2 linked regions of the Bombyx mori genome follow. The protein of the gene in region 1 purifies or fractionates together with the protein of each later gene. This does not show direct contact. Links are inferred from orthologs where the notes say so. Each region holds a gene or a part of one and is shown on either strand. Other genes may lie near its edges.

What was found.
Region 2: the proteins of breast cancer anti-estrogen resistance protein 1 (region 1) and Ywhae purify together in Homo sapiens (affinity purification with mass spectrometry; 3 studies listed by BioGRID and IntAct, with this or other methods). This does not show direct contact. The link is inferred for Bombyx mori from reciprocal best matches to the Homo sapiens genes BCAR1 and YWHAE.

What each region holds. Positions count from the first base shown.
Region 1 is NC_085117.1:10,878,866-10,884,674, reverse strand, and holds the start of breast cancer anti-estrogen resistance protein 1, read left to right. Parts: upstream 1-2,273; 5' UTR 2,274-2,388; coding exon 2,389-2,454; intron 2,455-5,094; coding exon 5,095-5,235; intron 5,236-5,461; coding exon 5,462-5,602; intron 5,603-5,809. UniProt on the Homo sapiens protein: Docking protein which plays a central coordinating role for tyrosine kinase-based signaling related to cell adhesion. Implicated in induction of cell migration and cell branching. Involved in the BCAR3-mediated inhibition of TGFB signaling.
Region 2 is NC_085122.1:14,130,257-14,136,383, reverse strand, and holds the start of Ywhae (14-3-3 epsilon protein), read right to left. Parts: upstream 3,750-6,127; 5' UTR 3,639-3,749; coding exon 3,575-3,638; intron 282-3,574; coding exon 118-281; intron 1-117. UniProt on the Homo sapiens protein: Adapter protein implicated in the regulation of a large spectrum of both general and specialized signaling pathways. Binds to a large number of partners, usually by recognition of a phosphoserine or phosphothreonine motif.

The DNA of each region.
Region 1 (5,809 bases):
TTAGATGGGTGGACGTGCTCACAGCCTGGTGTTAAGTGGTTACTGGAGCCCTTAGGCATCTATGACGTAAGTACACCTTGAGATACAAGTTCTAAGGTCTCAAGTATAGTTACAGCAGCTTTATACCGTAACGCATTACTGCTTCACGGCAGAAATAAGCAGGGTGGTGGTACCTACCCGCGCGGACTCACAAGAGGTCCTACCATCACTTAAGTTTACAAGTATGTGTAGTTCAGTTGGTAAATCAGAATAGTTATTTAAAATAGCTGTTATTTATAACAAATACTACGTAGTCATCAGAAGAATAGTAAGTACAACGTAATATATGATTAAAAATGTCTGTGTTATTCTAAAATATTGGAATCTAATCACATTTCATAGTCATGGTAGGCCGTATTGTGAGCCTAAGCCTTAACATTTTGCGTGTTTCCGCGGAGCAGTCATGTGTTCCCGTTTAAAGGGTGGACGAGTCTTGATACTTTATTACTATTACTATATTCATACTTCGACTTGTCTAAATATGAGTAGCGAGCGCCACCCTGATCAGCGTCCTTGCTGAACTCTTCGCTTGCGATATAGGGCTCGGCGGGTAAATTAAATAGACACAGCCCACTGAGTTTCTCGCTGGATCTTCTCAGTGGGTCGCGTTTCCGATCCGGTGGTAGATTCTACGAAGCATTGCTCTTGCTAGGGCCAGTATTAGCAAAACTTCCGGTGTGAGCCCCAAGAGCTCACCTACACGGTAGCGTAAAGCTGAAATAGCCTCTCAAGACTATCAGCATAGGGAGGGGAAAAAAGCCAGCAACATTCACGTTGTAAGCCGACGGACCCCGTTAATCAAAACAACAAGCGTAATAATACAAGTTGAGGTACTTATGCACTATCAAGTGGGAGGAGGTAACTATGTTATCTATCATAAATTCAGAAGTTTACTTTAAAATTAATTCGTATAATAATTCCATGTTTAATGAAACATTTATATAAACAGCTGTAGCTAAAATTGGCAAGAAAGCTGATAAAAACATAATATAGTAATAATAATAATAGCTGTTTTTTTTTAATTTAGATCTCTTAGTGAATTGGTTTTATCGATCATTAACAGATTAAGTGTAAGTAAGATTAAATGTGTCGTTAAGACGATTAACGTGGGAATCAAATGAGCTATGTTTACAGGAGACCAATGTTGATGACTGCATACAACAAAACTTAAAAAATCTCGGTATTGCTACTTGTGGATATTTTTTCACAATATTATGTGGATACTGAAAGCACCACAAAAGATAAGAAATGGATGAGCGTTAGGCGGACACACACATTTAATAAAACTGGGTCTGAATGGCTGACCACAAGGCGCCAATAAAACGAAACAAATGATACAATGGTCCCCGATATAGTGACGTGAATTAACCTTAGAAAATGACCTCACACGTGGATAGATCGAGTGCTATACAATAATAATTTAACAACTACATATTATGTCAGTTTCTGTGAATGGTGAATCTATGAATCACACCAACTCATGCGGTTCCAATCTGCGTACAATTAATTTTCATTGTTTTTAATTATCTTTAATTTAAAATAAAGTACAAGTCATATAATATTATAAAATGATATTCTTCTTTCGTATGAGCATTTATTTTTATTGCAATTTTTTGTTATCATTGACAAAATGTTGTGAGTGTTTTGGTTAGAATATTAGGTAGAAAGGTAAACTAAAATGGTCTTAGCCCTCGATGTTAAGTTGCTACCTGAACATTGAACCTCAAGCATCACCCTCTAACCTTGGGATCGGAGCTTGAAGTCTCAATCATATGTAATGTCTTACATTTCAAGCCAGGACTGATTGCTTCGGGGCAGAAATAGGCGGATGGTAGTACAAACACGTGCTGGTTCACAATTACCATAAAATCAGTGGTCACGTTAATAAACTGTATAGGTTTGAACATAATGAAAACTTAATTTGTACACTAAAACTTTTGGCCCATGACAATAATGACGGTAAATCTTATTATTTATCTATATATATCTTGCACAATAATAATTGGCCAAAGGTCACAAACTGGCTGGTAATAATAGGCTCCTGTCTCAGTGTCTCAATATCTCGAAACGGACATAAATTTAATAAGTGCGTCGATCTTAATGACGTCACTGTGACTCAACTGGTTCCAATAACGGTTATACACTCGTTGTTTATATAAATAAATATATTTATTATATTTAGTGTTAATATTGTTTCAATCAGTTCACTTTGTAACTTTGTGGCGATCACTTGTGTCTCATTACTAGTGCTTGATTGATATACAGACTTTGTAAAGTATTTTGTGAAATTCAATAATAAGTTCTAAAAACAAATATAGTTACAGAAGGTTGGAAAAACCAGTGTTCACAATGTGTAACTGTAAATTTAACCTAAAAATTAGCGTTAAGACATGCTCCATAAAATGGGTAAACATTGTAAGTTGATTTGATTATTAGATTATTTTATGCGTTTTTTCTTTCTTATCTTGTCTGCTGGAATGTTACATGCTGTGCTTTAAGTCGTCGCGGCCTAAAGGATAAGACGTCCGGTGCATTCGTGTTGAGCGATGCATCGGTGCTCGAATCTCAGGCGGGTACCAATTTTGCTAACGAAATACGTACTACATACGTACGTTCCGGTCACCGTCCTCATCGAACCCGTCGCTTACGACGAAGGGTTCGACGAGCGAACTAACCCATAGACACAGCCCACTGAGTTTCTCGCCGGATCTTCTCAGTGGGTCGCGTTTCCGATCCGGTGGTAGATTCTGCGAAGCACTGCTCTTGCTAGGGTCAGTGTTAGCAACTCTCCGGTTGAGCCCCGCGAGCTCACCTACAAACGTTAGGGCGAAGCTGAAATAGCCTTTCAAGGCTATCAGCAAAGGTAGGAAAAAAAAAAGAATAGAAATACGTACGTAAAAAAAAATGCTGGCGGCAATAAATCTGTTCCATTTTGTTCGATATCGAGCCTCTTTTAGTTGGAATTTGGAATATCATAACTTCACAAATTACTCTAAAATCTAGTCGCACTACCATCTAGGTGATCGTTCCAATATTCAATAAAAAATTAGAAAGATTATTCGTCCAACAATAGTGCTATAGGAAATTAATTGTTCGCTTATTTTGAAGCTTTCTGAAAAAAAAAGCTCGTAAGATTTCACTGAAGGCACGCTGCACAGAACCGAGATTTGATTTTTAATTCATTCAGTCTCAGACCGGAAAGTAATATTGCGATTTTTTTTAAAAATAAATATATATAATCTAAATCAACTTTTAAAATACGTTACTTTTATAGCATTCGGACTTCGGGACATCTGAATTCTTGGTCAAATTTGTCCCAGTCTAGGCATAACTGTTCTCTTTATTTTTGCGTAATTATCTCAACTTTTTATCAACTCCTCAATTTATCTTGAATTGATACAAAGTGAAGTATATTAATGTATCCCTAGATTATGGTTTTGGTATTAAAAATAATGATTCCTTTATTCACGAGCGAGTAACGCATTCTAAAATGATCCTACGTGTGTTAACATGATATTCAATTATTTTTTTTTGGAAATTGATAAAATCGACATGTACCTAATAAATTTAATATTTCGAAAACGTCAAGAAGAGCGCAACTAGTATGTATTTATATTTACGTTTTTTTTTTTGGACATAGCCTGTCAGAAACATCTATACTAATATTATAAAGACGAAAGATTTGCTTGTTTGTTTGTATTGAATAGGCTTCGAAACTATTGAACCGATTTGAAAAATTCTTTCACTGTTTGGAAGCTATACTATTCCCGAGGGATCTTTACTAAAACTCCAATAATGTAACCCAAGGTGTAAAAAAATTACCTAAAATATTTTTTAGTGCGCTGCGATAAGCAATTCACGATACAATAAAAGAATGTACTACGACTTTGTAGAACACATTATTATTTACAAAAAATGCCGCGACAGCAAATGTCTAACTAATATAGTTATGCCGCAATAAGTGTTATTTTATTTTTTAAAATAAAACAACGTCAAATATCCTTGAAATTTTTGTTAAAGACCCGAGCGGAGCCGGAGCGGGCCGCTAGTCGTAAATAAATGTAGTACATTTAACAATACTGTCTCAGCAAATAGACTGCACTCACTCCGCGTAACCGTATATCTATTTTCAATATCGAATAATACTCGGGAATTATAAATAAGTAGATATAAATTTCTGCCAACATTAATTATGATAAGGGAAAATAGTGTTATTTTAAAATATGTAATGATTTCATACGCCTTTGTTACCTACATTTTCAAATAACAGTCAGAGTGTGTATGTATTTTAGAAAAAAGCTCTTTGATTACCATTTTTGGCGTTGCCAATAAATAATAATGATTTTATCAACACCGGTTTTCACTAAAACTACTCGACAACCACAAAAATTTACTTGTTATAAGTACTTATCAAATTTTAAAAATGTGCTCCTAAATACGGATGATAATTAAATTATTTAACTACTGTTCCATTGTTGTCAATAATATTGATCGATTAGAATCGACTGTCAAACGACGGGATACAGAAACTGTCATTTTATGCGCCGGTGGAACGTAGGACGCGGTTTTGTCGCAGCTGCATGTCGGCAACATATGCGTTCGACATTGTCTAATACTAATGGGGATGAAATACGACTGACACATTGAAGTTTATCACGCTTTTGTCCTGTAACGAAATTGATTTGATGAACGTGAGCAAAACTGATTATTAGGAGACTATATTGTAAAGCCTAAGCCTAAAGTAGAACACAAAAGACAAGAGTTTTACTCTCGAAAGGATTTTATTTAAATCCAAAATATATTGGCTTTTCTGCTTGAGTGTTAAGTTTCGAAGTGTCGCCTCCGAATCAGTTTTCGATTCGTTTCTTGATTGATCATTATGATATTGGCATGTGGTATTTTCCGAAGATTATCTTCTTGAGTTATTAAGTCCTTATCGCGGATTAACAAATCACAAATTTGTTTAAAGTAGCTATAGCTATAGCATTAATATCTAATTAAGGAACTCTAAGACCCTTCCTTTGTTTCTGAAAGAATTTAATTGTTATATTGCAGTGTATGGCGCGTGCTTTGTATGATAACATTGCGGAGTCTCCGGACGAGCTAGCTTTTCGAAGAGGCGACCTGCTCACCGTGCTGGAGCAGAACACCGGTGGCAGCGAGGGCTGGTGGCTGTGCTCGCTTAGAGGAAGACAGGTATTTTTATTTCAAATATTCGAAAATTATTCAATATAGATTTTCATTGGTCATTATTGCATAGATTTCATGACCGTCCGCTATTGTTTGTCGAGAAACCGTACTATCGTTATGATTCATAACCTAAAGCACGAAACAATTAAATCTCACGTAGGCACGAATGAGTAATTATTGTTTTGTTGATAGCTGTAGTGTAAGGTCGTAATTTGTGACGTGTATTTTTCAGGGAATATGTCCGGGCAATCGGCTGCGGATAGTGGCGGGCGTGTTCGACTCCAGTGGAGCGACGCAGAGGCGGCGAACGAGGCCGCCTGCGCCCGTAGCCCACCAGCCACTTCCCACACAACAATCTCCCGCGTTTACCAAAGTAAGTTTTTAGGTATTTAATAATTTGGTAAATAAAGTATTGTTTACAAGTCCAATCTTATAATATATTAAACAAATGTATTTCTTTCATTGATCCATAGAGCGCTTACACTCGCACCTTCGTTACTTAAAGTAGACCCATGAACCCGATCTGAGTGCTGTCACTTCATCCGCGCTAATTAGTAGTTAGGTACTTAGTATTTCCAGA
Region 2 (6,127 bases), on another chromosome or scaffold:
CTAAACTCTCAATGCTTGGGTGATACTAAAACACAATCATCCAATTTATTTATCCGGGCTAAGCTCTGATTATGACAAGTTACATCAGCAGACAAGTAAGTGTTACACGAGACTCACTTTTGTTTCTTCCTTCTGTTCGATGGAGGAGATGATCCGCCAGGAGGCGCGGCGGGCGCCGATCACGTTCTTGTAGGCGACCGACAGCAGGTTCCTCTCCTCCACTGTCAGCTCATTGTCGGACACGTTGCGTGATGCTACATTCTTCATCGCCTCCACCATTTCTGAAAAATAGGATATATTATTCGTTTTAGTACATTTCTACCATATCTGGTACTTTACTGATGATAGGACCTCTTGTGAGTCCGCACGGGTAGGTACCATCACCCTGTCTATTTCTGCCGTGAAGCAGTAATGCATTTCGGTTTGAAGGGTGGGGCAGCCGTTGTAACTATACTTGAGACCTTAGAACTTACATCTCAAGGTGGGTGGCGCATTTACGTCGTAGATGTCTATGGACTTCAGTAACCACTTAGCACCAGGTGGGCTGTGAGCTCGCCATATTTATAGATATTTATTTTTCTTTTTATTATTGTTATTTAGGAGATTGGGCAGATATTTGCTCAACATTTCGACTTTTGATAATCTAGTATTTTCCTCAAACTTCAACTCATCATCTCAAAACAATGTCCATACTGTGGCGGGTATACAAGTTGGATTGATAAGGGACAAAAGGGCTTTGCCGCTAAGAGCTATGACCCTTCCGATGGGGACCTTGGCAACAGTAACCCTTTATCATCAGGTGGCAGCTCTTTTGTGTTCGTTACATAGCCTATAGGCATCTTGGTCTGAGCCATCAGACCAATCAACATAAGATTTTTTCCTCCCTAAAGCATCATCAAAGTATGCTAAATGTCTCTGAATGTATAATATTCATTTTAATTACATTAATTCTTCTAATGCAGTTGGAACTGAGTCTATTCTACATTTTAAGGTGTTTAGATTATTAAGGAAAATAAACATATCATTGTTTTGTTTACAATTATATAGGATACTTAAGAACAATCATAAAGATGGGAAATAAATTAGACAAATCAACTCATTTGCTCAGTAAGCACTGTTTAATACAAATATAATATTTCTAAAGAGGTTTGAATTGAATTTGTCAGTCAAGTTAATGAATGTGATGTAATGGTAATTTGAAAAGACAGTGTAAGGGGATAACACTTTCTTAAAATTCCAATTTATTTATCTTATTGTTACCCATGCAGAAAGTTATATGTTAAAAAAGTTCATCTGCATTGCATTTGTTGCAATGCAATTTTAATCTCCCAGAAATAGTTGGTTCCTCTGCATGTTTGTTGGTTAACACAATTATTAACCAGAGCATGTGTGTGATGTGTTCTTCAAGTGTTTGTTGCATGAGTCAATAATTATGTACGACCCAAAAAATCTAAAAAGTGCAGTAGGACATGAAAGTTACATACTAAACTACTGAAAAATCACCTCAAAATAGAAGGCCATCCTATCCTGTCGTGTTCAAGAAAAAACTTGATTTATAACACAACTACACACATTGTTTTCTTGCACTACTTTCTACCAACGTATATAGCCATGTAGTTTATTAGAATTTATTATTTTAAAAACTCCTAATTAAAAATAATGTTGTAATGTTTTACTGGTGGTAGGACTTCTTGTGAGTTTACACGGGTAGGTACCACCACCCTGCCTATATTTATGCCGTGAAGCAGTCATGCGTTTCGGTTTGAAGGGTGGGGCAGCCGTTGTAACTATACCTTACTACCTACTATACCTTAGAACTCATATTTCAAGGTGAGTGGCGGTATTTACGTTGTAGATGTCTATGGGCTTTAGTAAACACTTAACACCAGGTGGGCTGTGAGCTTGTACACCCATCTAAGTAATAAATAAATAAAAGTTGAATTAAAAATAAATATGAGAATTATACTATTGGTTTAACCACGTCTATCTTCTATCTTTCAGCCCACAGACACCAACTGCTGGACATAGACCTCCCCCAAGCCTCACCAAAATGATGCAGATAGTGCAGGACCAATCGTGGTGAGGCTTGTTTTAACTACAATCTACAATTTTTAGACACTGCTTCCAATGTAGCACTATTAAATATTAGCCAATGATTACAGTCAGCAGTCACATGTGATGAGTACGAACTGATACAACATCCTCTAATTTACAACCTCATTCAGTGTACACTACAAAAATTATTTTCAACATAGATATTTCAAATTTTTTGAAAGTTTATTTTATTAATATTAGTCATAGCATCATGCGGCAAGTTCCAATGAAGTCATACTTTTAATATGTGTGACTAACATAATGAGACTTTCTAATTTATAAATCCATTTAAGTTTGACATTCACTTGCAAATTAGCACAATTATATTTAAAATTAAATTACAATAAATTTCATATGAAATAAAGACACTTGCAAAATATTGGCTGAAGGTCAAGCCATAAAAGGGTGTGGTCAACTTTAGTCCCACTGACAATACTTTTAGTGGTTCATAAAAATAATCAATAATGTACTGATTGCAGACCAACCTGTTACAATTTTCTCTATGTCACACTATGTATGTAGAGCAATATTCAATACTTAGAACCCATGATGAAATGGATAAGGATGGCCTAGGGCTTCTTTTTTAAAAATTAGAATTGAATGTCATATCTAATACCACCCATGTTTTTTGCAGATGAAAGATAGATGAAGATGAAAAATCTTTATGCACTCAATAAAATGAAGTGTAACAGTTGTGTAACAAGTCATTCATATTTCATCCATGTTGTGCATTGATAAGATTGACAATGATATTCTTCAATGATAATGGTAACTAAGGTCATTGAACCGTGGACCTTCACAGACTTTCAATTATTACTCCCGAGTTTTTCATGAGGAAGATGACAGAAAACTATGATAATACTTTAACAGAAAGCGATATAGTTAGACGAAATCGTTGTAAAACCCTAAGGAGACAGTTCCCGTGGCATCAAATTGTGAACAATAGGTGAAATCTAAGGCGCCATAAAACTACGTCATAACTAAGATGTTTCTAATGTGTCTGGATCACAATAGCAGACATACAAGAAAACCAGTGGCGCATCGATCCAGATCCTCTGACACCCGGTCAACGGTACTACAAATTCTTGAAAATCACTTTTATTGGAAACTTTCAGTCATAAAGTTGCGATTCTACAACTGAAAAAACTATCGTAACTGAACCATGAAGGTTCTATTTCAGGTTGAGAATGGATTCAGCGTTTTTGTTCATGTAAAAAACCTAAGACATCCCACCGGTGGATGACGCATCGATCGCAGGCCAAGCCTAATGAATACCATTGACTCGTTTTTCTATTATCAAATATACAAACTGCGACCTACAAGGCTATTTGCAATAGAAAATTGAAATAAATGAAATGATAATTACGTCTTGGACATAGGATATTCTCTAAAGAATCTTAAAATCGTTTTTCAATTGTCGGCGAAAATAAGATAGAATCTTCGACTGAATGATAGCATTACAGTAAAAATATATGCTTACCGTCATAGCGCTCAGCCTGCTCAGCTAACTTTGCTTTATACACATTATCTTCCCTTTCCGACATTGTGGATGACAAATGATTTTACACTAACTAAATCCGAATCGCCAGGTCACTTATTCACCAAGATGGCCGCGCCCGCCAACCGAATCCAAATTCGATCTTCAACTAAACTCCGCCCATGACGTCATAGACTAGGCAGCTTCCGTTCTACATTTGCTGCCAGATAAAAAGTAATTTAACTACTGATTTAACTGAAATGAAAAAATTAAGGAAGGTTAAATTACATTTTTATTACTACTATTCTACTTTGACCAATATAAAATAAAGTTATTCTAATAAGCTTAGATTCATGAAAGTTCAGGCAAAAAAACAAATAAAAACTGTAATTTAAAAAAAAAAAGTGTGTGTGTCCGCTCCGACGCACGACTGGAGTTTACTGGATATAAAAAATTAAACGAAACAATACGAGAAATAGTTCTATATTACGACAACACGATACACTACAGATTATTAACAAATTAACGAGACACAAAACAAACGACTAACAAATATATGAAAATACAATAATGAGAGAAACGCGCGATCAGTATAGTAACCGGCAAACATCGTGAGCAAATGACCTTGACTGCGCAGAACCGAATTTTAGATCACTTTGGTGGTGAGGGTGAGGCGCGACGGCAGGGGAAATCGTATCGAGCGCGTTATTGGTAGATCAGTCGAACCTTGCGTCCCGCACCGCGCCTTCGTTCCGCTTGCTCCCAAAAGTACGCTTGCGTACAGTGAAAAGTCTATCGTTATTAATCGTTAATAAATTTTGTTATAATTGCTTGTTGACTTTGTTGCCATTGCTATTTGTTGAGTATTTGTTGATTTTTTATAAAAAATACACTATGCCGCGACAAACTTGTGTAGTATTCAAAAGAAAGGGCAGAAAAATTGTGTACGACGTATATTGCTTCATTATAAAACAGGGGAAGAATGATATTATGAAAAAGTAAAACAGACTTCGGAAGCAACAAAAACATCAGTGAGTACTGTTAGGTGCATTATTAACAAAGAAAGCTAAAGGCTCTGGCTTGCTCGTCGTGCTTGGGACTCCGGGTAAGAAAAGATCAGGGAAGAAGAAAGTTACCGGAATGGATAGTTTCGTTCAATCTGTAATAAAAAGATGTAATCATAATAACTACATAACAAGCAGCGAAACTCCGTACCGTAGAAAGGCTTCGAAAATTTTAAAGAAGATATACATTTTAATAGCTCGGAATGAAGTTTACGACGAATTATGAAAGAGCTAGGCTTCAGATGGAAAAAAAAAACAGAAAATAATCGGAAGCTGGTAATTGAAAAAAGTAACATTCGATTACTACGAATCGAATATCTTCAAAAAATAATAAATTATAGACAAAAAAGAAGATCGAACCGACCGAGTCGTAAACTACACCGATGAGCCCTATGTCCACTTATCACGATGATGGCGACTCCAGTGATGAAAACAGTGATGATGATAATGGTCAAGATTATGATAACGAAAAAAAAATTACAAATACCAGCTTCGCTTCAACTGAACGAAGACCTGGCAACAGCTCTAGTTTTGACTTAGTAGAAGGAATATCTATTTTACCCCAAGATTAAATTATTACAATTATTAACCTATATTTTTTGTTGATGTTCTAATAAATATATAAATAAATACATATGTTGATTTTAATAATTTAATTGCATTATGACGCAGAGTAAATAATGTTTTTGCACGTGAGTGTACCATGCGCAAACTTACCCCCACTACGTCAACAAATGCTCAAGAAGTTTGCCGGCTATTATACGAGGCTTTGTGGCGGACTGCCGGCGCAGCAGCCCGGCGTCACCTGCGATAACGCGGCCGCGCGTTGGCTCCTGATTGGCGCGCGCACGCATCACGCAATCAGGAGCCAATCAGGCGCATAACGCATTTCGTGTGACATGCTAGTACGATTTTGGTCCCCATAATTTTCATACCCCGGGCCTATATATGTAAATCGATTCTAAAGGAGTAAACTCCAAAAAAAAAATTATGCAGACGAGCATATGGCCCACCTTATGATGAGTGGTTACTGTCGCCCAGGGACTTCAGCAACGCCAAACCGCTGCCTACCGAAAAAAAATTGACTGAACTAGCTATACATAACTCTTGAAATAAAAAAATTTTTGGAGTTTACTCCTTTAGAATCGATTTACATATATAGGCCCGGGGTATGAAAATTATGGGGACCAAAATCGTACTAGCATGTCACACGAAATGCGTTATGCGCCTGATTGCGCATGTCACACGAAATGCGTTATCGCAGGTGACGCCGGGCTGCTGCGCCGGCAGTCCGCCACAAAGCCTCGTACTGATCGCGCGTTTCTCTCATTATTGTATTTTCATATATTTGTTAGTCGTTTGTTTTGTGTCTCGTTAATTTGTTAATAATCTGTAGTGTATCGTGTTGTCGTAATATAGAACTATTTCTCGTATTGTTTCGTTTAATTTTTTATATCCAGTAAACTCCAGTCGTGCGTCGGAGCGGACACAC